Elephas maximus indicus: one gene and its partners. The protein of the gene in region 4 interacts with the protein of the main gene of each other region in a biochemical or structural test. Links are inferred from orthologs where the notes say so. Each region holds a gene or a part of one and is shown on either strand. Other genes may lie near its edges.

Region 1 (7,005 bases), on a different chromosome or scaffold from region 4:
GCAATCCCACTCCTAGAGAAATAAGAGCCTTTACATGAACAGATATACACACACCCATGTTTACTGCAGCACTGTTTACAAAAGCAAAAAAATGGAAGCAACCAAGGTGCCCATCAACGGATGAATGGATAAATTACGGTATATTCACACAATGGAATTCTGCGCATCAATAAAGAACAGTGAGGAATCTGTGAAACATTTCATAACATGGAGGAACCTGGAAGGCATTATGCTGAGTCAAATTAGTCAGTTGCAAAAGGACAAATATTGTATAAGACCATTATTATAAGAACTTGAGAAACAGTTTAAACTGAGAAGAAAACATTCTTTTGTGGTTAAGAGAGGAGGGAGGGAGGGAGGGTGGGACAGGGGTATTCACTAATTAGATGGTAGATAAGAACTACTTTAGGTGAAGGGAAAGACAGCACACAATACAGGGGAGGGCAGCACAACTGGACTAAACCAAAAGCAAAGAAGTTTCCTGAATAAACTGAATGCTTCGAAGGCCAGTGTAGCAGGGGCAGGGGTCTGGGGACCATGATTTCAGGGGACATCTAAGTCAATTGGCACAATAAAATCTATTAAGGAAACATTCTGCGTCCCCCTTTGAAGAGTGGCATCTGGAGTCTTAAACGCTAGCAAGCAGCCATCTAAGATGCATCAATTGGTCTCAACCCACCTGGATCAAAGAAGAATGAAGAACACTAAGGACACAAGGTAATTATGAGCCTAAGAAACAGAAAGGGCCCCATGAACCAGAGACTACATCAGCCTGAGACCAGAAGAACTAGATGGTGTCCAGCTACAACTGATGACTGCCCTGACAGGGAACACAACAGAGAACCCCTGAGGCAGCAGGAGAGCAGTGGGATGCAGTCCCCAAATTCTCATAAGACCAGACTTAATGGTCTGACTGAGACTGGAAGGACCCCGGTGGTCATGGCCCCCAGACCTTCTGCTGGCCCAGGACAGGAACCATTCCTGAAGCCAACTCTTCAGACATGGATTGGACTGGACAACGGGTTGGAGAGGGATGCTGGTGAGGAGTTAGCTTCTTGGATCAGGTGGACACTTGAGGCTATGTCCGCATCTCCTGCCTGGAGGGGAGATGAGAGGGTAGAGGGGGTTAGAAGATGGCGAAATGGACACGAAAAGAGAGAGTGCAGGGAGAGCGGGCTGTCTCATTAGGGGGAGAGTAATTGGGAGTATGTAGCAAGGTGTATATAAGTTTTTATGTGAGAGACCGATTTGATTTGAAAACTTTCACTTACTGAAAGCACAATAAAAATTGTAAAAAAAAAAAACACAAAAAAACAAAAAAACCCACTGAGGATTCCTGCTTGCTGTCCAAAGTCTGAGCCGATGTAGATCCTTGTGGTTGTTCGCGGCTGTCAAATTGGCTCTGATTTATGATGACCCCATGTGTGTCAGAGCTGAACTGCTGATATTTTGGAAATAGATTACTAGGCTTTTCTTTTTTGTCTTAGTCTGGAAGCTCCACTGAAACCTGTGCACCATGGGTGACCCTGCTGGTATCTGAAATACCAGTGCCATAGCGTCCAGCATCATGGCAACATGCAAGCCATCACAGTATGACCAACTGACAGACGGGTGGTGGGTAGATCCGTAGCAGTGCTTTCTTCCCAGTTATGCTGCCAGGTGGTCTGCGATGCAGCCAGACCCCTTCCCCTCAGTCTTCCCACCACACCAGTGGTGCTTTAAATCAGAGGCTGGTTGAAGGAAGTCTGTGCTGACGATCCTGAGTGAATGCTCGCCTCTTGCGAGGGGCTGAGGGCTACCTGATGTAGACAGCAGAGGCACTGCCAAACTTTCCAGTAACACTGCTACTGCCCGCACCAGTGTCTGCAACTTCTTAATTTTTTTTATTGTGGTAAACATACATATATATGTTTTTCCAATTCAACAATTTTTACATGTAAAATTCAGTGACACTGATTGCGTTCATCATGTCTTGCCACTACTGATAGCTGCCAATCTCACCTTCCGTGAAGGAGACCTGGTGCAGGATGCCCAGGCAGTGTACCCCATGTGCAGCACCACCCATCTGTCAGTGCGGGCTTGCATGTTGCTATGATGCTGAACAGGTTTCAGTGGAGCTTCCAGACCACGATGGACTAGGAAGAAAGGACTGGCCATGTACTTCTGAGAATCAGCCAGTGAAAACCCTATGGATCACAGCAGTCGGTGGGGATGGAGCCGGACTGGGCAGCATTCTTCTCGGTCGAGATTGCCATGGGTTGGGGGTGACTCCAAGGCAGCTAACAAGAAGACCAAGGATTGTGAAGGTCTGGGTGAGTGAATGGTAATTTACTCTGAGGTCTGTGCACTTTTTCAAGGATGACATCCCCTAACACTCCCCCAAGAAGACCAAGGATTGTGAAGGTCTGGGTGAGCGAATGGTAATTTACTCTGAGGTCTGTGCCCTTTTTCAAGGATGACATCCCCTAACACTCCCCCAAGAAGACCAAGGATTGTGAAGGTCTGGGTGAGCGAATGGTAATTTACTCTGAGGTCTGTGCCCTTTTTCAAGGATGACATCCCCTAACACTTCCCCAAGAAGACCAAGGATTGTGAAGGTCTGGGTGAGGGAATGGTAATTTACTCTGAGGTCTGTGCCCTTTTTCAAGGATGACATCCTCTAACACTCCCCCAAGAAGACCAAGGATTGTGAAGGTCTGGGTGAGCGAATGGTAATTTACTCTGAGGTCTGTGCCCTTTTTCAAGGATGACATCCCCTAACACTCCCCCAAGAAGACCAAGGATTGTGAAGGTCTGGGTGAGCGAATGGTAATTTACTCTGAGGTCTGTGCCCTTTTTCAAGGATGACATCCCCTAACACTCCCCCAAGAAGACCAAGGATTGTGAAGGTCTGGGTGAGCGAATGGTAATTTACTCTGAGGTCTGTGCCCTTTTTCAAGGATGACATCCCCTAACACTTCCCCAAGAAGACCAAGGATTGTGAAGGTCTGGGTGAGGGAATGGTAATTTACTCTGAGGTCTGTGCCCTTTTTCAAGGATGACATCCCCTAACACTCCCCCAAGAAGACCAAGGATTGTGAAGGTCTGGGTGAGCGAATGGTAATTTACTCTGAGGTCTGTGCCCCTTTTCAAGGATGACATCCCCTAACACTCCCCCAAGAAGCTGAACACCCTTCTCAGTGCACACCAGCATTCCAGCAACTCTCCTCCTTTTTTTTTTTTAATTGTGCTTAAGGTCAAATTTACAAAGCAAATTAGTTCCCCCGTTCACTAGTTTGTACATAAAGTGTTACATGACTTTGGTGGTATTCCCCACAGTGAGTCAGCACTACCCCCGTTTCCATTCCGAGTTCCCCCTTTCCTTTCGTCCTGATTTATCTCGTGTAAAAAAAAAAAAAAAATTTTTTTTTTTAATTGTTCTAAGGACCACCTTCTCTCGGGAGTTACTGTTTATTTCACGGCCCTGTCTATGGTTTGGCTGAAAGGTGGCCTCTGGAAATGTGGCTGCAGTTCCACTTCAGAAGGGTGTCTTAGGGCCACAGTCTCGGGGGTTTCTCCAGGCTCTGTCAGACCCCGTAATTTGTTTTTTAACCCAAACCAAGCCTAACCCACTGCCAAGTGGATTCCAACCCATAGAGAACAAAACTTCCTCATAAGGTCTCCGAGGCTGTAATCTTCAGGAAGCAGACTGCCGCATCTCTCCGCCCCTGTAGCAACTGGTGTGTTCCACCACCAAACTTCCGGTTCGCTGCCGAGCGCTTCACCTACTGCACCACCAGGGCTCCTGACTTCTTAAAAGGGGTGGAAAACCTGACGCAGGCGCAGTGATCGACAGCCGCGTCAAGCCGACAGTGAGCACGCGCACGAGCCCATTGCCCGCTGTCCCTCCTCCCTCAGACCCCGCCCCTCAAGGCTCGACCTGGGCCGCTGCGCCCCGCCCCGCGCATGCGCAGGGCCGTTTTTTCCCGTGGTGCTCTAGGGCGCGGGTAATTTGTAGTTATGGCGGGCGCTCCGTCGCTGCGTTCTTGCAAAAGATGCTCCTCTGTTAGCTGTGCGTGTGACCAGGGCAAGTGGAGCGACTCCTCTCTGCTGGGCAGGAGGCTCTCCGAAGACTCGAGCCGCCAACAGCTGCTGCAGCAGTGGGCGAGCATGTGCAGCTCCGGGAGCTGGAGCGCGCCGGCGGCCGGCGCCGAGGAGACGTGGCGTGGGGAGGCCGCGGAGGAGGAGCGGCCGCTGGTGTTCCTGTGCTCGGGCTGCCGCCGGCCGCTGGGCGACTCGCTGAGCTGGGTGACGAGCCAGGAGGACCCCGACTGCATCCTGCTCCGCTGTCAGTCCGGGCGGGCGGGGGGCTTGGGGCCGCCGACTTCCCAGGTGTGCAGTATCTGGGCGGCTCGGAGGGAGGGGGTTGCCTTGGGACCCACTGCCGTCAGTCCATTCCGACTCATAGCGACCCTATAGACAGAATAGAGCTGTCTTATGGGGTTTCCAAGGAGCGGCTGGTGGATTCGAAGTGCAGACCTTTTGGTTAGAAGCCGAGCTCTTAACCACTCCACCACCAGGGTTCCACTGCACCACCAGGGACTTAAAATGCAGAGAAAGTTGAGAGGGGGAGCTGTGCTACGAAAAGGGGAGGAAGAAGGTCACCTGCACCTTTGGCTCAAGAGTGAGGGGCGGGTCCTTTATCTTGAAGCCACCGCCCCGCCCCCCATTCGAGAAGAGCAGTGGTTGAATCAGCAGCATTGTGAGCATTACTCAAAACATTACAACTCGATTGTAAGCCAGGACGTGTTTGTTGTTGTTAGGTGTTGTGGAGTCAAGTTGTTTTTAACTTTTCTAGAACTGTATATAAATATCTTGATTTATCCGCTTTAGACAATTTGATTAAAACTTTCTCCTCCACTTGGACTTCAATTATTCTCACTTTGTCATTGTTCTAGTATTTACGTTCTGCTCTGTAGCCATAATTCCCATGGTCATTTAGCCTTAAGGTAACATTTAAGTGGATTTATTTCTCAACTCTAGTACTCTTATCAGGAGTCCTGGTGGCACAACGGTTAAGCACTCAGCTGCTCATTGAAAGGTTGGTGATTTGAGCCTGCCCAGTGACTCCGAGTGAGAAAGATCTGGCAATCTGCTCCTGAAAAGATTAAAAAAAAAAAACAAACAACCAAACCCATTACTGTGAAGTCGATTCTGATTCATAGTGACCCTATAGGACAGAATAGAACTGCCCCATAGGGTTTCTAAGGCTGTAATCTTTATGGAAGCAGACTGCCGCATCTTTCTCCCACCTGGCTGATGGGTTCAGACTGCCAACCTTTTGGTTAGTAGCTGAGCACTTAACCACTGTGCCACCTGGGCTCCTTTCAGAATTGACTCAATGGCACATAACAACAGTACCCTTAGAGCTTTCCCTTCCTGACTGGTTTATTTTGATTGTTCTTGTTAGCTGCTGTGGAGTTGACCCCGACTCATGGCAACCCACACACAAAGGGATCGGACTGTTGCGATCCGTGGGGTTTACACTGGCTGATTTTGGAAGTAGATTGCCAAGACTTTCTTCCTAGTCAGAGTCTGGAAGCTTTGCTGAAGTCTGTTTAGTAGCATAGCAACATACAAGCCTCTACTCATATAGGTGGTGGCTGTGCTTGAGGAGTACTGGTCGGGAATGGAACCTGGGTCTCCCTCACGGAAGGCGAGAATTCTATCCACTGAACCACCGTGTCCCTCTTTATTTTGATTAATCGTCCTCAGTAGTTCCCATCCCCAAGAAAACTCCAGGTTTGAGTGCTTGAAAATGTCTGTTGTCTTTATACATGAATGTCTCTTTGGCCACACGTACACTTCTTCGGTCATGCTTTGTGCTTCCTCCAGGCATGAGGGGAGCAGGTGGTGCAAAGGCCCTGGGGCTTGTGAGTAGAATACAGATAAGATTCAGGGAAGAAGGAAGGGGCCAGAAAATGGAGAGCCTCGTATGCTATCTGAGGAGACAAAATCTATTCCAGTGGTTGAGGAGATGGGAGTGATATGACCCACTCGTGGAAGTAGGGAGACAAGTCAGGAGCTGTTGTGGAAGTCCACGCAAGGGGTGGTGGCAGCTGTGTTGGGGATGGAGAAGAGCAGATACTTTGGAAAGGCGTTTGTGAGGTAGAATTCACAGCACTTGTCAGTGGAGTGGGTGTGGGGAGCAGGATGAGACAGAAGAATCAAGGATGGCATTAGGGTGTCTGGTGGTGGCATTCACCAGGCTAAAGTGGACTGTAGGAGGAGGTGAAATCAAGGGGCTGTTTTGTTAGGTCCGATATGACATGGTCTTTTCTTCATTTCCCTCCACCTGGACCCTCTGTTAGTGCATCCTGAAACTGAATCCTCCGGTAACGTTTCCTGCTCGGGTTCTGCTGCGGCCCTTGCCCAAGTCATGGTCCAAGTAAAAGATTTTTGGCTGGGTTGCTGGGGACCATCTAAATTACTGTTGGAGAAATGAGCTTTCTTTTGGAGATCTAGATATGTACGCGTTGGATTTTAGCATCTTCCTTGGTTTTAATCCCAATTTCACCAAACCTGGCAGTTATTCTTTGTAATTTATGATTGGAGGTTCTCATTTTTCCAGGTTTTACTATTTCCTGAATTTTTCTTCTTAAGCTTATTCATTTTGTTCATATCACTGGTTTTCAGGGAAGGAAGTAACTCTTATTCTGCTGTCTTTTTCCAGAAGACTCCTGTACATTTAGTTTTAAACCCATGTGTTTTGTGTGTGTGAGTGTGAGAGAGAGAGACAGAAAGGGTGAGAGGGAGATACTTTGGCCTCTTATTTTTTCTGGCCCTCTGAGTTTTCATATAAAACTCAGATTAGAGGTTCTCTAAATATCTGCATGTGTATTATAACAAACCCCATTAACAAATTATAGTTACTTTTCTTCTTTCCAGGTGTCTCCTGTAATGTTTCTGTGGACAAGGAACAGAAGCTATCCAAACGTAAAAATGAAAATGGCTGGTGAGTAAAGC
Region 2 (8,005 bases), about 43 Mb from region 4:
CAGGACCAGGCAGTGTTTTGTTCTGTTGTACACAGGGTGGCTATGAGTCAGAACCCACTCGACGGCAACTAACAATAGCAACAACAACAAACAAGCAAGAGCAAAAAGCAGAGATGGGGAAGGCACATGTTAATCACATGAAAATCGCCCAGAAGCAGAAGCCCAAAGAAACAAGGACCTCCCTCCATGTCTGACAGAGAAAGCCTTCCCCTAGATCTGGCACTCTGAATTCAGAATTTTGGCCTCCTAAACTGTGAGAAAATAAATTTGTTAAAACCACCTGCTTGTGGTCTGTCATTGCAGCACTACATAACTAAGACACTAGGTTTATAGCATCTCTTACTGCTGAATTTATAATTATTCCAATCAGTTTAGGACATCATATAAACATAAAAAGCCAATCACAGAAAATACTAATGCAATCAGACCAAAAGACATCCAATGTCTATATCTACAATAACTTCTGTGAAATACATATATGTGAGTTAAAAATTCACATACAAATTTATATTTTATTCAGTAATTTAGAATATACTAGGATCCCTGGTGGGACAGTGGCTAAGTAAGAAAAGTAAAGAAACAAAAAAAATTCCTCAATAATAAGAGCTGACAAAGTTTATCTTGGGAGTCTTGTCCTGAACACAAACACCAGTGTAGTTCTTTCACAGAACATAATTTGGTAAATATGTATTAACAGATATATTTATGTGTTAGGCAATATGCTAGGTGCTAGGAGTCCTGTGCTGGGAGCTATAATACTAACAGTTTAGTTTTAACTATATCCCCTAAAACTGTACTCTCACAAAAGAAAAAAAAATTAATAAGCTGGACAGTTACCAGGAAAAATTGCAAAATGTGTGCAGGTTTGTAGCTGCCAGCTGTTGTTGCGTTGCCCGACTCAGGGAGACCCCATGCACAATGGAACTAAAGGCTGCCAGGTCCTGTGCCATCCCAGTGATTGCAGATAGGACCATTTTGATTCAGAGGGTTTTCTCCACCTTATTTTTGGAAGTAGGTCACAGGCCTTTCTTCCTAGTCTTAGTCTGGAAGCTTTGAAGCCTTTTCAGCAACATAACATGCAAGCCTTCACTGACAGAGAGGTGGTGGCTACACATGAGGTGCATTGGCTGGGAACTGAACGTGGGTCTCTGCATGAAAGGTGAAAATTCTACCACTGAACCACTTATACAATCACAATTCCTTAGAGCCTAATGAAATGCTAAAAAAGCAAACGATAACTGCAAATACACTAGTAGCACTGAAAGCAGACCCAATCTGTACTAGACATCCCACAACCCGGTGCCGTCGTTACAGAACTGTTTTCATCTAAAGGCAGATAATTATGGTCACATTGAAAGGCTCCAAGACACAGCTCCTCCCTTTCATATTTCCCACCACCCCCACCCCCACCCCCACCCCCCCATTCAAGCAAGTAATAAGACGGAGAAGCCGAATAGTCAAGATTCTTAAAAACCCTCAGATTCTACTCCCCCTCCCAAAAAGACACAAAGTTTCTCTTGGAGTCCTTCTCTACCACTACGTGATAAACAGCAACTCAACAGAAGCCCAAAGATCTGCCAATATTTTTTAGTGGTTTCAGTGTGGTTGGTGGTAGACAGAGTGTTAAAACAATCACGTAGGATTTTTTTCTGACGATAGAAACTTTGCAGAATAATAAAAGAAAAACAAATAAACCATTGAGTATAGGCGACCCAAGAAAGACCTGAAGCCCTATTTCTTTCCTAGTTAACAGAAAAGCAGAACAAAAACAAACAAAAAAAAACCCCTAAATCAATAATGCTCAATCTCTGATGAAATATGCAGATAATTGGTGTCCCTCAAGTTGAGAAAGAACAGTGTTCCGAAGGCTGGACGATGAAAAAGGAAGAACGAAGAAAAATGAACGCATCCAAATTGTGGTGTCTGCAAAGAATACTGAATATACCAAGGACTGCCAAGAGAACAAATAAACCTATCTTGGAGAGTGTACAGCCAGAATGCTCCTTAGAAGCTAGTCTTGCTTACTTTGAACATGTCATCAGGAGGGACCAAGAGCTGGGGAAAGACATCATGTTTGGTAAAGCAGAGGGTCGGCAAAAAAGAGGGAGACCCTCAATGAGATGGATTGACACAGTGGCTGCAACCATGGGCTCTAACACAGCAACAATTGTGAAGATAGTGCAGGCCCAGGCAATATTTCTTTCTGTTATACATGAAGTCGCTATGAGTAGGAGCTGACTGGAAGGCTCTTAACGACAATCATTCTAACCTCATTTTCTTTTTCTTTTTTTTTTCCTGTGAGTGATTTTAGAACAAAGGTCTAGAGGGCTTAACATGGAAATGAATCTGAGCGGAAACGAATCTGACCGAGTGTTCTGACAACTGCGTAGACACGCAACAAATAAACACTGAATGAATGAGCAGCGCGAAAGCACTGCCAAAGCCAGAATCTACTAAGGCCCGCGTGGGCCTAGCCGCTGCACCTGCAACGCCGGCAAAAGGCTAGAGGCGCCGAAGAGGCCGTACCTTGGTGGAGGGCTTGGCAGGGCGGACGGTGGCAGTCCCAGCTCGGCACCGCGCGGAGGTGGTCAGGGCACCGCGCGGAGGTGGTCAGGCGCCCCAGGACTCGCGCCTCAGGCCCACGTCGGCCTCGGTCTGCCGCGGCCCTGGCCCAGGCGACGTTCACCTCCTCTTGAGGATCCCTGACATCTACAACAGTTTGGGAATTCAAATTCGAAGAGCCCGCCCTCCGGCCAGCCCCGGATTGGCGCACACAGGAACTACGTCACCGTGCGCCTCTCAGGGACGCGAGAAAACTAGGGGCGGCGGGAGCGGCGCGAGGGTAATGCTGTTTCCACAAAGAAGTAGGAGACCCCCAAGTTGCCGCAGGCCAGGGGCGCGCCCCTCTAGTCATCCGCAGGGTTCGTTTGGTCTCCAGAGGGCGCCACGCCGCGAGCCTGTCTGCGTTCCACCACTCCTCCCGTCGTGCCCTGCGGTAGGAGGGCGGTCGTCAGACGTCGCCTGCACGCTCTGGCACTAATGAAGTTTGGCCCCTCCCAGCTACTGTCTTCTTTAGCCTGTGGGAACCGGTTCTGCGGGAACTTGTCCGCCGGTCCTCCCATATTCCGTGTTCTCGTCAGTGCTGTTTAGCAGACGTTCCTTCCACCTTTGAGGAAACATCTTGTTAAACACATTTGAGGAAACGTTTGTTGTCTCAGTCCACGAATTATTTGAGGTCGAGAATGAGCGTTCTGTTCTTGAAGGGATAAGGGACTGAATGCAAAGTGACACTTCCAGTGGGATGTTTAGTTTTAGCTATTACCGCAGGCAGGGTGATGTTTTTTGAAGCTGATCATCTCGAATTCTAGAAACAATATCTCGACAGCTCTACACTGCGAAGCACTTTGCGACAGTGGCCCTCAGACTCCACCTTGCCTTAGGCCGCACCCAGTGATGCTCTGCTCCAACCACCACGGAGGACAGAGTGTGTCCTTCGCTGCAGCGCCCCGGGAAGACGCAGTCGCTGGCTGGAAGCGCTGTGTAGGGCGCCTTGCTTGAGTCTTGGGGGATGGAGAAGGGCGAGCCAGGGCAGTGGCAAATATTTTCAGCCGTAAACTCTACCCAGCTCCAGTCCCGCGTCTCCTCCCCACGAACTCCCCTCTCAAATCAGCATTTGGGACATAAATCCTTTTTATTGCAAAGAAAATTCCTCAGCTTTTTAGAGTCATATTGCATTTCCTCATTATGATTGTTATCGTACTGGACTCAAAAGTTTGTAATGGGTTAATTTTTTAAAGTGACATTTTGCACTTCTGAAGCCTGTATCTGCTACATTTTATGCATAGAATATTCAGAATCCAAAATGCAAATGTAAAGCGTGTAAATGAATGCAAGTGAGGAAAAGAAACCGTTTGGGAATTGGGGGAGTGAAGCAAATCTACATGGGTAAAGTGAAGTTTCTGCCTCTGCAGGATAACAGGAAAATGACTGGACAGGGATTTGCACCAAATTTCTAGGAAAGATAAGTCTTAAAAATATATGTTAAGTGGCAGGTATGAAATAAACTTTGTGGACTAGAGCGACCTTGAAGAGATATGTATTCGTCATATGCAATGGAGTTATGAAAGGTTTCTATGCTGATGATGGAGATAGCCATGGCTTACACATTCAGACAAAATAAAAATTCCTGAAATCTTAAGGGCAGACTCTCAGAATTACAGACTTCATATATTTTTTTTAACTAACCACTTCTGTGAAAAGTAACTAGTATATAGCATGTGAACAGCCACAGGGATTTACATAAGGAATTTCCAAGCAAAACTGGATGAAACAGTTTGTGAATAATGAAGAGTGATGGGAAGGCAAAGAAGCCAAGGTGCAAATATTCATCCGCCCTTTAGAAGGTCGACATGCTGCCTTGGGTGGGTACTTTTAAAAGTTTCTGTCTGGAGAGGAGAGCTTCTCCTACTCCACAGTCACTCACCTGAAATACTCTGCCCAGTCCTAGGGCTGTAACTCATGGGGACACATACAGATCCATTTAGGGTCCAGAGGACAGACATAGGAGATAGGGACTGGAAGTGTCACTCTGGGAAGAACTGCCAAAGCATCTAGAACTGCTTAGCCTGGAGGAATATTCCCAGGACCATGGTGAGTTCTAACAGTGCTACTACTTGCCTATATGGCATTTTTTTTTGTAAATTAGAAAAAGATGGCCTTCAAGGCCAATGATTCTCAACCAGGGGCAATTTTGGAAACATGTCTGGAAACATGATTGTCACAACTGCAGAGGTGCTACTGGCATGTAGTAGGTAGAAGCTGGGGATGCTACTAAACATCCCTCAATTCGCAAGACAGCCCCTCCACTATGAAGAATTATCTAGCCTAAAATATCAGTAGTGCCAAGATTGGGAAATCCTACTCTTGGCAGAGGTAGCCCTAAAACACGATTTCAATCCCCTCTCCTGCAGCTGAGTGCCCTTATGTATTGTATAACTGCATAACCACTACTGCCATGTCCAGGCCTAGAGGAGGATGAGGAGGGAGTCAACAGGGAGGTTATCTGGGCTTTGTGAGAGGGGGACTATTCAGAGATGGAGTCAACATGCAAAGACACAATCACATTGATTTGGCTTTTTTCTTGCTAACTGGTCTAGTTCTACAGTGAGTGACCCCACTGCTGTGTTTACAGTGGTATTTAAGGGCCAGCAGGGCAAATTGCCCACGTGTAATCTAGTATTTGGCCTGGCAGTACCTGGACCTCTTCAAGAATCAATTGTGGTGAAACCTGTAGTCCTACCTGGTGATACACAGCTCTGTTAGTGTCTTTGTTCTTGTTTCTCACTGTTTTGTGCCAATTAACGTAACTTCTGGGTCACCTTTCATACCTCATGGTTCATACTGAACTCACATCCGCCATCCCATAGCTCCTGATGTCCAGTTTAAATAGGCACCTGTATGACTCTGGAGTCCCTGCTCATCACACACCATCTTCCCAGCTCTTAGAGCATACTGGAGCTTAGATACTCTGTTGTAGACTTTTCCAAATGTCTGTTTTCATCCCTGTTCACTGGAGAAAGTCCCTTCCTTAGTAGCAAACAAAATCCACAACACCGTAAGTGGTGATTTTACAATGCTGAGTAGGTGCTGATTAGGACCCAGCGCTCCTGAAGGTAAGCTCTCTAGTGTGTCTTGTGGTTAAATGGGTGCCTGCACTGGGAACATTTTATTCTGGTTTTACCTGCTGCCTAGGAGCACTGGTGGTGCAGCGGTTAACATGTTCAACTGCTAACTGAAGGTTGGCAGTTTGAACCTACCAGCTGCTCCATGGGAGAAAGATGTTACAGTCTGCTTCCATAAAGATCCCAGCCTTGGAAACCCTATGGGGCAGTTCTACTTTGTCCTGTAGTGTTGTTATGAGTGGGAATCGACTCCATGACAATGGATTTGGTTTGGGTTTGGGTACCTACTGCCTGCTGCCATCTTAAGGTCAAAGTCAGTTTTGCTCTGCCTTTTTTCTCTGGATCTGGATCTGGAGTCCCTCACACCCCCACCCCCCCTCTCGTTGAAGAGAGAGGAAAACTCAGAGTTCAAAGTCCTCCACACTGACTGAGTTCAGCGAATTGACAGAAAGCTCTTCCCCTGTGCCTTGGGGCCAATTTCATGTGGACATCCCAGGGATACTTTAAACTCAACTTGTTCAGAATACAACTTTCCATCGTTCTGTCTTCCTCCGCCAATGAATTCCTACTCTCAAAACTCACTCCTCCTCCACACTCTTCATCTCAGTGAAAGGCTGTTCATCCAACTGCTAAATCAGAGGCCTGAGGGGCCATCCTCTTCCTTTCATTCCCCTACTGTGTTTCCCACGTCCAAATAACCACTAATTTCCTGTTTAGTCCCTCTATTGCTCTGCCGCTATCTGAATTATGGCCTTCAATTTCTCTTATTGGAACTATTGCAGTTGTTCGTCTCTCTCCTGTCTTTCATCTTTACTTCATCTCATTGTTTTCCTTCATACTGCCTCCAGTGTGATTAATTTGAAACTCAAAATCCTTCAGTGACTCTGTGGAGCCTACAAGGTAAAGTCCAAGCTCCTTGATTTGGCTCACAAGATATTCTGTGAATTGACATTTGTCTGCTTCTGGGCTTATCTCCCATCACTCCTCATCTCACACATAGCACCTAGTAACACTTAAGGTTACTGGAACACAATTAGCTGTTTCATACCTCTGGGCATTTGTTCATGCTATTCTCTTTTGTTTAGAAACAAACATCTGTAGGTCTTTTTCTTGGGCTTGTTCAGGTCCAAGAGAGGATGTATATCTGTCTGGGTCTGTAAGAAACAGATGGATCACTCAGTGGGTAATTGAAGAGAGTAACATAAGGGTTCCTTGAAGGGTGTTTAATGAAGGGACTGTTTACAAACAGGAGAGGTGAAATAACCAAGGACTAAAAACAGCTGGAAGTCCTTACCTCCTCTTGGCCTAAAGTGGCAGGGGAAAGGAACAGCATTCCTGGAACTTGCTAAAAAAAAAAAAAAATGGCAGGGAGCAGGGAAGAAGTAGAAGAAACAGCACAATGTTTCTCTTCTTCCACCCTCTGATATTCTGCTAGTGCCTCTAATTGGAAAAGGCTAAGATAGCTTTGGGTGATTACAGTCTGCAGATGTCCTCCTCCCAGGGCAAGGGAGAGAACTGGTAACAAATGTGAAGAGGCAAGCAGAGAACAATTAGCACAGGGTATATGTATCTTCTACAGCTCTGTTAGCTAAGCAGGGCAGGAGGGCTAGGGGTGTCACCTTTGGGTATGAAGACTTTTAATTAATTGCTTATTATCAGATGGCACCTCATCTCTCAGCTGTAAGAGGTGCCTCCAAGTCTTGGGCTGGGAAAAAAAGTCTGGGAAACTTATTTTTTTAATACAGCCTTTCAAGCCTTTCTCCTGTATTCAGCCCAACTCTACACTTTTGCCTTTAAATGGGCTCAGAACCCTTAATTCCTGAAACTTTCTGGGATTTGCAATGCCAATCAGCTTATTTCTCCTTGGCTTCCTTGCCCCTGCAGGCTTAGGCCTCTTATATCTCTAATCTATTAGTTCAGTTTTTACTCATCCATGTGTTTTTTGGCTTCCAGAATTCTGTTGGCACCTGTGATCAGCTATCATTTCCTGTTCTTTTTGTCTGTGTGGACCAAATGCCCCCTTTTAACTGTCATGTTAACGACAGTAAGGAGGAAAGGAGGGAGGATCAATAGGAATATTCAGGCCACCATGTATTAACTGGGAGCTTCTGATCCAGTGGATGTTAACTTTTTTCCATTTGATGAGTCTTTGGGTAATCTAATGAAAAGGAATCTCCTATCCTGAAAAAATGTATATAGAGATTCAAGCAAATTTTTATATATGATTTTGGGGTGACTTATGGCTTCTTGAAATCTTATGAACCCTTAAAGGATGAACCTTGGTTATGAAATAGTGTCTACAATGTATTTAGTATAGTCTGTCT
Region 3 (6,859 bases), on a different chromosome or scaffold from region 4:
CCCTGGTGGGTTCTGTCATTCACTAGAATAACTCACAGAACTCATGGAGTCTACCTACACTAAAGAGAAAAACCAAACCTGTGGAGCTGTTTCCAACTCACAGTGACCCTACAGGACAGAGTAGAACTGCCCCACAGGGTTTCCAAGGCTGTAAATCTTTATGGAAGCAGACTGCCACATTTTTCTTCCGTAGAGTAGCTGGTGGGTTCTTTTGGTTAGCAGCCAAGCCCTAACCACTGTCCCACCAGGGCTCCTTCTACCTACACATATAATTAGAAAGGACACCTGGTAAGAGATACATCTGGCAAGGTCTGGGACGAGCCACACAAACCTTGCCATGCACAGCATGCTTTCTACTGGCTGGTGCTGTGAGGTGGGGTGCTGATTGGGCCATCCCCTCCCCTCACCCTCCCTACACTCAGATGCCAATGTGGATGTTCTCCCCACTACAGGATGCCCCCAGAGAGGATCTCCAATGTTCAGGGTCCCTTAGTAATTGGGGCCTCAATGAATACGCATGAAGGTGTCTTAGTGTATAGTTACCCTCAATCCAATCAATGATCATGCATGACTGACTGTACCATGCTCCTCCTTCCTGTGGCTTAGTGTGGGGGCGTGTGGCATGTGTAGTCCCTACTCAGTTGCACATGTTTCAGGGTTGCTGGTCTATTTTAGAAAACAAAAGGGCGCCCTGACTGCTTGAGAATTTCAGCTATTTTTTGAAACCAGAAAAACCAAAACCCACTGCTGTCGGTTGATTCCGACTCACAGCAACGCTACACCAGAGAGCAGAACTGCCTCATAGGGTTTCCAAGGAACAGCTGGTGGATTTCAACTTAGATCTTCTGGTTAGCAGCCACACTCTTAACCACTGCGTGCCACCAGGGAGTCACCAGGGCCTCCCTGTTTTCTGAAACGAGTGACAAATGGCCAATTCTAGTCCTTTGACCCACACCAAGTATACTCCTTTTTTTAGTGTTCACAGCAACCCACTTCCACACACTCTTTGGCGCTCCTAACATCTTCAGAGACAAGCACTCACCGAGTTCACTGTACGTACGCAAGCGAGGTGTGGACAGATCAGCTAAAAAGCCACAGAGTTAGGACTTCGCTTAAGGAGCAGGTCTTATGAACCGTTTTGTGCCTGCTTGTTTAACGTGCAGCAGGATCTGAGATCCGCTTTCATCATCATTACCTTTCTTTTATTATCAATGCCCATGCAAGCAGCAGTCAAGAAAGATTTGCATTGGGCAAATCTCCTGCAAAAGACCTCTTTAAGGTGTTAAAAAGCAACGATGTCACTTGAGGACTAAGGTGCACCTGACCCAAGCCATGGTGTTTTCAATCGCCTCATATGCATGTGAAAGCTGGACAATGAATAAGGAAAACAGAAGAAGAATTGACGCCTCTGAATTATGGTGTTGGCAAGGAATACTGAATATACCATGGACCGCCAGAAGTCTGTCTCAGAAGAAGTATAGCCAGAGAGCTCCTTGGAAGTGAGGATGATGAGACTTTGTCTCGCTTGCTTGGATTCAGGAAGAAATCAGTCCGTGGAGAAGCACATCATGCTTGGTAAAGTAGAGGGTCAGCAAAAGAGAAGAGGAACCTCAAGTAGGGTTGACACAGTGGCTGAAGCAATGGGCTCAAACATAGTAACGATTGCGAGGATGGTGCAGGACTGGGCAGTGTTTTGTTCTGTTGTACATAGGGTCGCTATGAGTCGGAAGTGACTCAACGGCACCTAACGACAACATCTTTGGTGGTGAGTTAGTAGTAAGGAGTAGTGAGAAGAGAGGAACTGACCTCATTCACAGCAGAGAATCAACGGGCAGCGGGCAATGCACTGACTTAGATCAGTTTGCAACACCATCGCTAAACAGAATGGCTCCTTTCCCATACTGGGATTAAGTTTCAAGTTATCAGAACCTCAAGGAGAACAGTTAATATTCAAAGTCAAACAAGACAAATGACAGTCAACGTAAGTGCTGGAGGGCACAGGTACTGTCCTAAGGGCTTCACCAGGACCCTAACTGTTACAATACCTATTTTACAGATGAGGAAACTGAGCCTCAGCCACGCTAAGCAACTCTCCCACGATGACAGGAGCATAAGTGTGAGCTGTGATGCCAACCCAGGCAGGTGCATTCTTAACCATCTATGTCTTCAGGAATTCATTTCTAGTCAGATGAACAAGGTTTATTTTCATAAAAGCACGGCCAGGATTTCAAAACTCTACAAGACGCTATTCACATTTTAAACCGAAATGAGAGTTAACTCCTACCTTGGGGCGTCTGGTAGGTCAGTGTGGCCATCTCCACCAGCACCGTGTCCTCGAAGGGATGGTTGTACTGCAGGGGACGGGGCGTCCCACTAGGTCAGACCTCCAGGCAACCTCTCCGCCCACCCCCAGTTAGTTCACAGTTACTGAATAGCTGGGCGGTTTTTCTACATCCCCTCAGTCCACATCCCTGCCTCCCTGCACCCTCCCCGCACCCCGTTCCCGGCCCGGCTCCCCCCTCTCAGCACCCTCCCTGCACCCGGTTCCCGGCCTGGCTCCCCCCTCTCCGCACCCTCCCCGCACCCGGTTCCCGGCCCGGGTCCCCCCTCTCCGCACCCTCCCCGCACCCCGTTCCCGGCCCGGCTCCCCCCTCTCCGCACCCTCCCTGCACCCGGTTCCCGGCCTGGCTCCCCCCTCTCCGCACCCTCCCTGCACCCGGTTCCCGGCCCGGCTCCCCCCTCTCCGCACCCTCCCTGCACCCGGTCCCGGACCTGCCTTCCCCCTTCGCATAGCCGGGTCCCGTCTCCCCGCGCCCTCCCTGCACCCAGGTCCCTGCACCCCAGCCCCCGACTCCCCCACCCTAGTCCCGCTAGCCTTGCGCCTGGCCACCCCTTCCAGCCGGAGCTGAGGGCCGTACCTTCTCTATCAGCTGCTGCATGCGCCTCTGGAAGCGATGGCGGCTGTCCTGGAGCTTCCGCGTCAGCTCGGCCTCCTCGCAGCCCTCGGCCGCCATGGCGCACAGGCTGCCGCCGCGAGTCCGGGCCGCCCGGAGAGCCGCTCCCGCCGCCGTTCAAATACGCTGCTCCCGCCCTCCTGCCATTCTCTGGCTTCCTATTGGCTGGTGCTGTGAGGCGGGCGCTGATTGGGCCTTTCAAACGTATACACGCGACTTCCTGCCGGCCAATCCGCCCCTGAGTCCCCGGCCCCGCCCCATCCGGTGGCGCGGGATTATAGGAAAGGCACGGAGGTGGGTGCGGGCGGGGGAGTGCCGCGGGGGAGCTCTTCCTGCCGTTCTGCGCCTATTAATTAACAATTCAACGGCAGCTCTTTGAGCTATGTATTATTAACCCATAGAGCCCGGGTGGTGCCTGCAGTTGCAGTTGGCTGCTAATCTGAAGTTTGGAGGTTCGAGCTGACTCAGTGGCTCAGTGAAAGAAAGGTCACGAACCAAGAAACCCCTATGGAGCAGTTATACTCTACCACATGGGGTCGCCATGAGATGGAATCCGCTCTGTCAACGACTAGCCTGGTGATAAATCTGTTCTGCCTCCTCTCTGACATCCAGGTTCTGGTGCCTTTCTCTGCTACCAGAGCAGTCTTTTTCAGTCTTTCTCTTTTAGATGGGAATGTCTTGGTGGTTCTTTTCTGATAACGCATCTTCAGCATAGATTATTTAAAACAACACAGCACCACACACCTGTTGGCATCAAGTCAATTCCAACTCACAGCGACCCTGCAGGACAGAGAGGAACTGCACCAGTTTCCAAGGAGTGTCTGGGGGATTCGAGCTATCGACCTTTTGGTTAGCAGCCATAGCTCTTAACCACTATGCCACCAGGGTTTCCAAAACAACACAGAGAAAGTAAAAATTACAGCCCCCCTCTAGTTTCCCACCTGAGCTAGTAATTTCATTAAGATTGGTTCAACCTTTCTCTATGCTTATATAAGCATATCCGACTCACAGCGACCCTGTAGGGCAGAGAAGAGCTGCCCCGTAGGGTTTCCAAGAAGCACCTGGTGGATTCGAACTGGTGACCTTTTGGTTAGTGGCTGTAGCTCTTAATCACTATGCCACCAGGGTTACGTGCTGTAGATTTGGCTCTGGCGACCCTATGATAACAGAACAAAATGTTGCAAGGTTTTCTTTTGCTTCTCCTCTAAGCCTTGGACAGCCTTCTCTTCTGTGACCCTCTACCCACGTAATAGCACCCCATTTCAAAACTTGCCTCTCCTAGGACTTGGTCCCCGGTCCTGGGACACTGCTGGGGTTTCTGCTCCAGGGCATTCCTGGCTGGCTTCACTGACTATCCCAGGAATCTGCCTCTGTTCCACGGGCTCATGGGCTGCTTCGGTAGAGAGAGTTCTCAAGGTAAAATTGAAGCAGGCCGTCATGAAAAGGTTATTAACCATCCCATAATAGTTGTTTTTCAAAAAAGTCTACTCTTGCTCCGTTTTTGTTACAATTTTCTTGTTTATCCTGGCAGGAGACCAAAGCACAGGCACACTGACTCTGAACCTACCCGCTTTCTGACCTTCCTGGGGTGGCAAGAGCGAGCCGTTGTCATTTTTTCAGGGCTGTGGGCAGTATTTTTAGAGCCATGTTCAAAAACCCATTCACTAAAATTTTGCGGACTGTGCGTGCATCACAAGACTGAAGATCCTCCCTTCACTGTTCATGCATATGAACGCCACTCCGCATAAAAGGAGCAAATCTGCCCTGATTCAGGGAGCTGGCAGCCTTAGGTCAGAGACCCTGCGTGCCTCCCAGTTTGCAAACTGGGTAAACCTTTCTGCTGGGAGCCAGGCTGCAAGGGCGGCCCCTCTGCACCCACTGCCCCCAGCATAAACATCAAAGAATCCCTGAAAAGTCAGGAGGAGCCAGGCTGCAAGGGCAGCCCCTCTGCACCCACTGCCCCCAGCATAAACATCAAAGAATCCCTGAAAAGTCAGGAGGAGCCAGGCTGCAAGGGCAGCCCCTCTGCACCCACTGCCCCCAGCATAAACATTGAAGAATTCCTGAAAAGTCAGGAAGAGCCAGGCTGCAAGGGCGGCCCCTCTGCACCCACTGCCCCTAGCATAAACATCGAAGAATTCCTGAAAAGTCAGGAATATCTCTGTCATCTGTGTTATGTTTCTATTTCATTTTCAGCCTGTGTATAGCAGAATGTATAAGCATAAAATTCCATTATAGATTTAGGGACCTTTGGACGGGGGGCGTCCTACTCATAATCCCCTGGTGAAATCTCGGGTAGGGACAGCCCGTGTGTTACTTGGGGATCAACATGAAGTTGTCTTAGGGGAAAAACAAATAGCTCGACTATGGAAAATAAGAATAGGATGGTGAAATCCTGGTATTTACCAAGGCCCTTTTGTGATTAAACCACCACCCACACATGACCCCATAAAAGTGGAAAAACAAAAGGCAGTGAGTTCTCTCAGCCAATTTCTCAGCCAATTACAGGTCAACCTTCTCGTCTACCCCGCTCACTGCTGCTCTTGACTGGTCTTTGGGTATAGAGATTGGGCTAATTGTCCTTGGCATAATCGTGGACAATATGACGTAACCCAAAGTGGCTGGACTTCAAAAATTTGGCCACCCTGGACAAAATGGACAAAGCCTATGTGGCAATGGTTTTTGCAAAAAGATTAATTATTATAAAAACTGTGGAAGGAATTGCAAGATTAAGCATAAAGTGTAAAGCAGTATGAAGTCAATTGTTACTTTGTGTAAAAATATATCAACAAAATATTCTCTTCAATTAAACAAAAATTCATTGTACTTGTGTGTGTATGCGGAACTGTACTATGTGTCACTTGGAAAATTATGTCTCTGGGAAATGATGTTTATGATTATATCTTGTACTGCCCCTTTATTGATCATGCGATGTTATGCTTTTGTAAGCTTATGATATAAAAGACCATGTAAAAAATAAAGAGCAGAAGGGCTTCTTTTTCTGCAGAAATGAAAATATAAGACACACTACCTCTCATTCTTTTTTTCGCCGAACTCTACCCCTCCTCTGGTAACCCTGTTCATTGCTGAGGCTGGCCCCCGGCACCTTTCTGTTCTTACAACCCTGCGTCTGGCTGACTTCAATTCGCTAGTCTGCTTGACAAAAACCTGTTAGTTGACAGCTTCGAAATCTTTAACTGAGAAAAAAAAAGACCCCCAAAATTCTGCTTTGCCAGTCCCCCCTTGAGCCAGCCTTAGCATGCATTGTCTCTGTCTGGCCAGCCCCTGGCCAAAGTGGCAGCCCAGCTGAGGAGGGAGGAACCCTGCATCACGCTCCTAATTTGAGGTCATTTTCCTACAACCTCCATCCACCGGTAACAGCCTAAGCATGTGACCTCAGGAACCCAGAACTGCTACAAAACTGCTTCCTCACCACTCCCCATCTCCATGAAACAGGGAAGCATTACAACTCAGCTCCTTCCTTGGCAGGGCAAGTGGCATGGGAAGTGGCTGGGTGCAGCCCCTGGGGGGCTCACAGGCTTCCTTAGGCAGTAGAGATGCAGGATCCCTTGCACAGCACCCTCTGCTGGCCTTGTTGGAACTTTCACCCTCAAAGATCTGTTCACAATTATGTAGACAGGAAATAATTTTCATCGGATTTTTTTTATAGCTACTCTCATAAAATGTGCCTGAATTTTGCTCAAAACAAACAAACAAATTCATTGCCGTCGAGTTGATTCCAACTCATAGAGTTCCTATGGGACAGAGCAGAACGGCCCCACAGGGTTTCCACGGAGCGCCTGGTGGAATCCAAATTGTTGACCTCGATGGGAATTTATTCTGCATAGAGTTGACATGTAAATGATATTGTGATGGAAAGGTGTGGAAATGTCATCATCAGTCTC
Region 4 (7,811 bases):
AATAGTTCCTATCTTATAGAGATTCTCACTAAAATATTTATGGATGGAATGATATGATTTCAGGTATGTGCTTCAAAATCACAGACAGGGGCAGTGGATATGATTATAGATGAAACAAGATTGGCTGGGAGTTGATAACTGTCCTAATTGAGTGATGGGTGCATAGAGGTCCATTGTACTCTTACGTGTTTGAAACTCTCCGTAACAATTAAAAAAGAATGTACTTTACTTATAATCAACATAATAAAATTCCATTCAAGTAAATACTGTGTTACACATAACAAAGGCTCTGAGTAACAAAGCTATTTAAAAGTGTCAACCCACTCTAATATTACTTTTTGAAATTAGTTACAATAAATCCTCCACCAGACACAGAATAACAGAATGTTGGTATAAGAAGGAACCTGGGATCTATCTACCTTATGACTTTGATTCTAAGATGCCATCAATTGTACAGCTCATGCCAACTTTAGGGCATTTAAATGTAAAAAAAAAAAAACTGCAGCTTAGAATTAATCCAACATAGTAGATTGAGAGGGACTGACTTCCTTCAAATGTCTTATTAAGAAGTTGGAAGTAGAATCCAGTTCTTCTCATTCCAAAATTTATGCTCCTTCAGCTGTATCAGGAATTATCCTCTTAATCCATTCTCAGACCCTTGTCTAGTTAATGAATGTGCATTCTTAAAATAAGGAATACAAGGTGTCATAAGCTGTGCTATTTCATAACCCTCTCCACAACCCCCATGGCCCTTCTTATTCCACAAATAGAGAAATACATGGCATTTTCCTCCTGTGTTTCACAAACCATGTAGACCAACACTATCCAATAGGAATATAATGTGAGCCACATATGTAATTTTAAATGTTCTATTAGCTGTGTTAAAAAAAAAAAGTAAAGAGAAACAGGCGAAATTAATTTTAATATATTTTATTTAACCCAACATATCAAAAATACCATTTCAACATGTAATCAATATTAAAAAAAAAAAAAACTTAATGAGATCTCTTCCATTCTTTCTTTTTTTATTAACCAAAGCTTTCAAAATCTGATGTGTATTTTGTACCTCAGTTCCGAGTGGCCACATTTCAAGTTCTCAGTAGCCACATGTGGCTAGGCTAGTGGTTATAGTGCTGGACAGCGCAGGTCTAGGTATACTATACTCCTCCCTAACAGGAAATTCAGAGAGCTTCTACCTCTGGCCCCAAATCTCCCAATTCCAGGCGGGCCACTACTCCTTTCCTCTCATCCCCTTGGAGGTGGGAAGGAGCCAGTGCAGGGAGTGAGTATCTTTCAGTCGGTAAAAAGAAAATGAGCAATGGGTCTAACTCAATTTGCTAAGCTTGTTCAGGCTGCAGAACTCTTCCTGGTCACTGAGAAAAACAACTAAGAATTACTACACTTTAACCCTAAAACTGAACCAAACTGTGGTTAGAATGAATTGACTTGCCGTTAAAGCCAACACTCAAAATTGAAGACCCTTGTAATATCAAATTCACTGATATTGTCACTTGTAAATCATAGTACAACCAAGACGCTAAGTTTACCAAGCAGTATTCAGGTACGTCAGGTCCCTGGGTAGTGCAAACTGTGCTCAACTGCTAACTGAAAGGTTGGCAATTCAAATCCATCCAGTGGCACCACAGAAGAAAGGCCTGACAATTTACTTCCCTAAGATTACACCAATGAAAACCCTATGGAGCTTAGTTCTACTCTGAAACACACGGGGTTGTCCTGAGTCCAAATGGACTGGACAGCAAGCAACTGGTTTTGGGGTTTTTTTTTTGTACTTAAGTACATGCTATTCAACTTGTGTTTTTCCCCAGTTTCCTAGTTAAAGACAGAATTAGTCCTCCGTGTTGTTGTTATGTGCCCTCTAGTGGGTTCTGAATCATAGCAACCCTATAGGACAGAGTAGAACTGCCACACACAGTTGCTAAGGAGTGGCTGATGGATTCAAACTGTGGACCTTCTGGTTATCAGCCAAGCTCTTAACCGCTGTGCCACCAGGCTCCGAGTCCTGCATAGCTTATTACAAATTTCATGTTAAGTGCAAACTATAATGGATATTTATCTTTCTTAGCCTAGCTTCACTTGCACATACTACTAGGGAGATGTGGCCCTCAAAGATCTTAAAAGCCACATACAAACATAACTTTTCCTTTCATTGATACATCAAGTTCGTACAAGAGTCATACAAGTAAAAGAAGCATCCTTCAGACATACTGTATTATTGAACAGATGAAACAATCTTTTCTTCTAGCGCAAGTCAGGAACAAGCTGTGTCAGTTCCAGGCTCCTCAGTCTCATTAAGTCAGGGACTAGACACCAAAGGGCAATTCCCACCCTTACCTGCCTTTGAGTGAACCTTCAATGCCAACCAATAAGGGCGCCTCCACATCGACGTTGTTTGTGGCTCCTGGGAAGACAAGCATTGGTCAGAATCGGTACCTCTGCCGGCCTCGAAGAGGAAAATCTCTCCCCCCACAGGTAACCTCACTGTGGCCATATTATCGGAAAAAAAAAAAAAAAAAAGACTCCCCCGCTGGCAAAGGGGTCAGTCGATACCCGTCCAAATCGACATCCCGTATTCCCAAACCGGCTCCAGGCCACTCAGTGGAAAGCGTGTGAACGCCCCACCTCCGCCTGCCCCGGATTACGCCCCCACTCACTGGAGAAGACCACGGTGCCGAGGGACCGCGACAGGTCCCAGGCGAGGTGCACCGAGTCGGCGAGCACGGCGTGGCACTGCGCACACTGGAACACGGCGCATCTCTCCGGCTGCAGCCACGACGGCAGCCGTGGGCCAGCTACCGGCTCCTCCGCTCCCAGCCCCGCGGGGCCGAGCAGCGAGGACCCTTTCACCACTTGCGTGTCCCACTCCATGGAAGACGTTAAAGAATGTTCGTCAGTAGCCTTCTTAGCGCCACCATCACAAAAGTCCCCACGCGGCAACTTCGCGTAGAGCAACCGATGCCGCCGGGGCCGAGCCGCCATTTTCCTTCAGCTGGCGCCTCCGTTTCGAAAACGCACCAGGCCCCGCCCCAAGCGAGATTCCAGCGTCTTCATTGGACGCCGTGTACCGTGGGCGGACACGCCTTCACACGCCCTTCCGCGCCGGGACGGGATAACGTGCCTCAGAGGGAGGAAATCAGCCTTTCTATTGGTTAGCGTCAGGAAACTCCGCCTACGAGACATTTCTAACCAATGGAAGTGCAGCGTTCTTAATTTAAACTGTATAAAGTTTTGCGCAGTCAACGCCTAGAGTGGCGCCAGAGTTTTGAACGGCGTTTTGAGAGCGGCCGACCGAGCTCTGCGCGGTCGCCCGGACTGCAGATCGCGATGACCGTACCCTCGCTGGAGGAGCTAGACTCCTTCAAGTACAGTGACCTGCAGAAGTTGGCCAAGACCCTGGGCCTCCGGGCCAACCTGAAGGTACGCTGTTGGCGGCGCAGGCCGCTGTGCAGGCGGGGTCGGATGAGGGGTTACCCGGGCCGACGCGGGGAAGCGACTGAGCGCGACTCGCGAGGTGAGGCAGCCGTCCCAGCCCGGGACGATAGGCAGGCTACTTGACTCACCGGGGTTCCTCTAACTCTGAGAAACGGAAGAGAGGCCGTAATTTGCACCGTATTTTGAGGCTGACTTTCCTGGAGCTCACATAGGCCTTTGCTCCAAGCCCGTTTGGGGTGGTTTTATTGGACACGATGCTTCCTAAGAGATCGGTTGGAAACGCAGGCTGAGAAAGCCCAAAGGATGCTCGTTAGTTGTTACGAAATTGCCGAAATAATTGCCCTGGCTTCTGGAAAACTCCAGTAACAAGTCTAGATTTTAATAAAGGCCTATAATCTCTCTCTTTTTTTAACTTGTACTTTTTTTTTTTTTTAATAATCTCTCTTTTTTTTTTTACTTGTACTTTAGTGGAAAGTTTACGGAGCAAATTAGTTTCTCGTTCAACGATTTCTACACAAATTGTTTCTTAGCATTGTTTGCAATCCTGCATTGTGTCAGCGCTCGCACCCTATCCCTTTACACTCTAGGTTCCCTAGATCCATTCACCCACTTTTCTCGCCCCTTCCCGCCTTCATGTCTTTGTTTTTGGGCAGGTGTTGGCCATTTGATCTTATATACTTGATTGATCCAAGAAGCACGTTCCTCACGAGTGTTATTGTTTTTATAGGCCTGCCTAGTCTTTGGCCGAAAGATGAACTTTGGGGAGTGGTTTCAATTCTGAGTTAGAAGGGTTTCCAGGGGCATAGTCTCACAGGTTCCTCCAGTCTCTGTCAGACCAGTGAGTCTGGTCTTGTTTGTGAATTTGATCATTCTACATTTTTCTCCAGCTCTGCCCAGGGCCCTCTGTTGTAATACCAGTCAGAGCAGTCAGTAGTGGTAGCCCAGCGCCATTTAGTTCTTCTGGTCTTGGGTTCCTTGTAAGCTGTGGTTCACGTGCATCATTAGTCTTCTGGACTAATTGCTCCCTTGAAACTGTAGTGTTTTTTTTTTTTTTTTTTTTCTTTTTTCCCACTCTCCTTTGTTCCAGACCAGAAGAGACTGGTAGTTGGATCTTAGATGGCTGCTCGCAAGCTTTTAAGACCCCAGACACTACTCACCAAAATAGCATGTAGAACATTGTCTTTAAGAACTACGTTGTGTCAGTTGATGTAGATGTACTCCAAGTCTATGGTCCTTTGCCTTCGAGCCTGGGAACTTCATCCATTGAGGTGTCTAGTGATGCCTAAAATGTTTCCCAGACGCTGCCACTTGTGTGCTCTATTGTCTATATTAACGTATGAGGAGCACTTCCAGTCAGGTATTTGAAATTTCTGCCACCGAACCTATCACTGCGGGTGGGTGTGCTCCCTTAGCCCATCTGTCACCTCTTGGCTTATTTGTGTATCCATCCATAGATTATTGTTTGCTGATTCTATTGTTACAGGATTATTTATGCTGTAGTAGTTACCATAGTTGTTCGTTACTCCTGTGTTCCTCTCAGTGTCCTCTCTTGCCTTGGTCACGTTGTGCTGACTTCTCCCATATTGTGTATTGCCTTTCCCTTCCCCCCTATTAACTGGTGGCGTAGTGGTTAAGAGTTGTGCCTGCTGACCAAAAGGTCAGGAGTTCGAATCCACCAGGCGCTCCTTGGAAACTCTATGGGGCAGCTCTCCTCTGTCCTGTAGGGTCACTATGAGTCAGAATCGACTTGAAGGCAATGGGTTTGTTTTTTTTTTTTGGTACTATCTCTTTGGGAATGTTCCCTCCCTCTTCCTCCCATCCCTGTTAACCATCAAAGAGTTTTTTTTTTCTTCCTGTGTGTAAAGCTTTTGTTACTTTATAAAAGCAGTCTCACACAATATTTTTCTTTTTGCGATTGACTTATTTCACTTAGGAACTCTGGTGACGCAGTGGTTAAGAGCTTGGCTGCTGACCAAACGGTCGGCATTTCAATCCACCAGCTGCTTCTTGGAAACCCTATGGAGCCGTTCTGCTCTGTCCTATAGGGTTGCTATGAGTTGAAATCCGCTCGATGACAACAGGTTATTTTTCCTTTTTTTTTAATTTTGCTCAGCCTAACGACCTCCAGATTCATCCATGTTGTGAGATGTTTTGTGGATTTATCGTTATTCTTTATGGTTGCGTAGTATTGCATTGTGTATGTACCACAGTTTGTTAATCCATTCATCCGTTATGGCATTTAAGATTGTTTCCACCTTTTGCTATTGGGAATAATGCTGCAGTGAACATGAACATGGGTGTGTCTATTCATGTCATGGCACTTATTTCTCTAGGGTAGATACCTAGGAGTGGGATTGCTGGATCATATAGTGTCTCTATTTCTAGCTTTTTGAGGAAGCTCCATACCGTTTTCCATAGCGGTTGTACCATTTTATAGTCCCACCAGCAGTATATAAGTGTTCCAGTCTTTCCACATCCTTGCCAATATTTATTATTTGATTAGTGCCAGTAATGTTGGGGTGAGATGGTATCACATTGTAGTTATGATTTGCATCTCTCTAATTGCTAATTATCAAGAGCATTTCTTCATATGTTTGTTAGCAACCTAAATGTCTTCTTTGGTGAAGTGTCTATTCATATCCTTTGCCCATTTTTTAACTGGATTATTTGTCTTTTTTTGCTGAGGTGTTGAAGATTTCTCTAAATTTTAGAGATTAGACCCTTGTTGGATTTGTCGTAGCCAAAGGTTTTTTTCCAATCTGTAGGTTGTCTTTTTACTCTTTTGGAGAAGTCTTTTGATGATATAAATGTTTAATTTCTAGGTGGTACCATTTATCTAGTTCATTTTCTTCTGTGTGTGTACTTTTAATAATGTTTGGTAATCTGTTTGTGCCATGTATTTTTCTTCCATGATCTTTATAGTTTTATATTTAGATCTTTGATCCATTTTGAGTTAGTTTTTGTGTATGCTGTGAGGTAAGGATCCTTTTTCATTTTTCTACAGATAGATATCCAATTTTGCCAGCACCATTTGTTGAAGGGACTATCTCTTCCGCATTCAATAACCTTCGGTCCTTTGTCAAAGATCAGCTGTCTATAGGTGGATGGATTTACATCTGGGTTCTCAATTCTGTTCATTGCTCTATGTGAAGCTGACGACTTGCTGGTTCTTCGCCAGCAGACTAGAAGATTGAAGTCAGCCAGACTTGGGGTTGGAAGAACAGAAAGGTTTATTCACAGTTTGCAAACTGAGAGGCAGGCAGGGTCTCACAACCTAAGCCTGCCAGCTCCCTGAACTAAGCCAGATTTGCTCTTATATAGTGAGTGACATACATATTCATGACAGTGAGGGGAGGATCTTCAGTCCTGCAATGCACACACAGTCCGCATAATTTTTGTAAATGAGTTTTTGCGCACAGCCCTAAAAAATGGTGACCGCTTGCTACTGCCACCCAGGAAGGTTGTATAGCCCATAAATTTGGAGTTGGTGCTTCTCTGCCTCAGCCTCCTGCCAGGAGAAGAGAGGAAACCTGGTGAATCAACCAATCATGGTGAGGTATTGTAAAAGTTGCAACAAAAATGTAACAAGAGTAGACTTTTTGAAAAACAACTATTATGGGATGGTCAATAACCCTCTGCCTGCTTCATATGTGTCTGCTGTTATACCAGTAGAAGGCTGTCTTGACTACTGTGGCTGTATAGTAGGTGCCTCTAAGGTCTGATACTTTGTTTGGGGACCTGGCAGAAAGAATGGCTTGTTTGGAAGTACCCACCATGGATACATTTTTATAATTGAGCCCTGATCTAGTGTGATCGTTCCTTTATTGATTACTGTTATGGTGGTGGAGCCCTTGTGGCACAGTGGTTAAGAGCTCAGCTGCTAACCAAAGGTCAGCAGTTTGAAGCCACCAGCCATTCCTTGGAAACCCCATAGGGCAGCTCTGCTGTGTCCTGTAGGGTCGCTATGAGTTGGAATCGACTCAGTTGCAATGGGTTATTGTGGTGGTGGTGTTTCAATACCAGTAATACCTTCGATTTTGAGGTGGCAAAATGTTGGAGGAAAATATAGGGATTCAATATATGAGGATCCATGTTTTATATATACTAACTGTTTTCACACAAAATACTAAGGTATACTCAAGATTTGTACTACGTGCTGTGGTATTTACACTGAATGAATGCCTAAATCAGCCATCACAAGTGTTTTCAAATGGTTTAAACAACATAATCAGTGCCCAGGTTTGGTACCTGTTGGGGTTGGGTGACAAAGTAGTGTCCCTGGGAATACTTCTGAGCTATAATATTTAATGCTTCACCCCTGCCCCATATTCATGAGCAAAGCCTTAATTCCTTAGTTTAAA

Evidence for each region.
Region 1: the proteins of OIP5 (region 4) and MIS18A form a complex in vitro, tested with the Homo sapiens proteins (3 studies listed by BioGRID). The link is inferred for Elephas maximus indicus from reciprocal best matches to the Homo sapiens genes OIP5 and MIS18A.
Region 2: the proteins of OIP5 (region 4) and MIS18BP1 form a complex in vitro, tested with the Homo sapiens proteins (2 studies listed by BioGRID). The link is inferred for Elephas maximus indicus from reciprocal best matches to the Homo sapiens genes OIP5 and MIS18BP1.
Region 3: the proteins of OIP5 (region 4) and HJURP form a complex in vitro, tested with the Homo sapiens proteins (2 studies listed by BioGRID). The link is inferred for Elephas maximus indicus from reciprocal best matches to the Homo sapiens genes OIP5 and HJURP.

What each region holds. Positions count from the first base shown.
Region 1 is NC_064836.1:29,347,946-29,354,950, forward strand, and holds the start of MIS18A (protein Mis18-alpha), read left to right. Parts: upstream 1-3,970; 5' UTR 3,971-3,999; coding exon 4,000-4,327; intron 4,328-6,927; coding exon 6,928-6,994; intron 6,995-7,005. UniProt on the Homo sapiens protein: Required for recruitment of CENPA to centromeres and normal chromosome segregation during mitosis.
Region 2 is NC_064828.1:57,674,452-57,682,456, forward strand, and holds the start of MIS18BP1 (mis18-binding protein 1), read right to left. Parts: upstream 3,004-8,005; 5' UTR 2,527-3,003; intron 1-2,526. UniProt on the Homo sapiens protein: Required for recruitment of CENPA to centromeres and normal chromosome segregation during mitosis.
Region 3 is NC_064824.1:136,096,032-136,102,890, forward strand, and holds the start of HJURP (Holliday junction recognition protein), read right to left. Parts: upstream 3,039-6,859; 5' UTR 3,015-3,038; coding exon 2,919-3,014; intron 2,352-2,918; coding exon 2,285-2,351; intron 1-2,284. UniProt on the Homo sapiens protein: Centromeric protein that plays a central role in the incorporation and maintenance of histone H3-like variant CENPA at centromeres.
Region 4 is NC_064828.1:14,707,751-14,715,561, reverse strand, and holds the start of OIP5 (protein Mis18-beta), read right to left. Parts: upstream 3,003-7,811; 5' UTR 2,998-3,002; coding exon 2,673-2,997; intron 2,420-2,672; coding exon 2,353-2,419; intron 1-2,352. Other genes in the region: NUSAP1 (nucleolar and spindle-associated protein 1), read left to right, coding at 3,343-3,435. UniProt on the Homo sapiens protein: Required for recruitment of CENPA to centromeres and normal chromosome segregation during mitosis.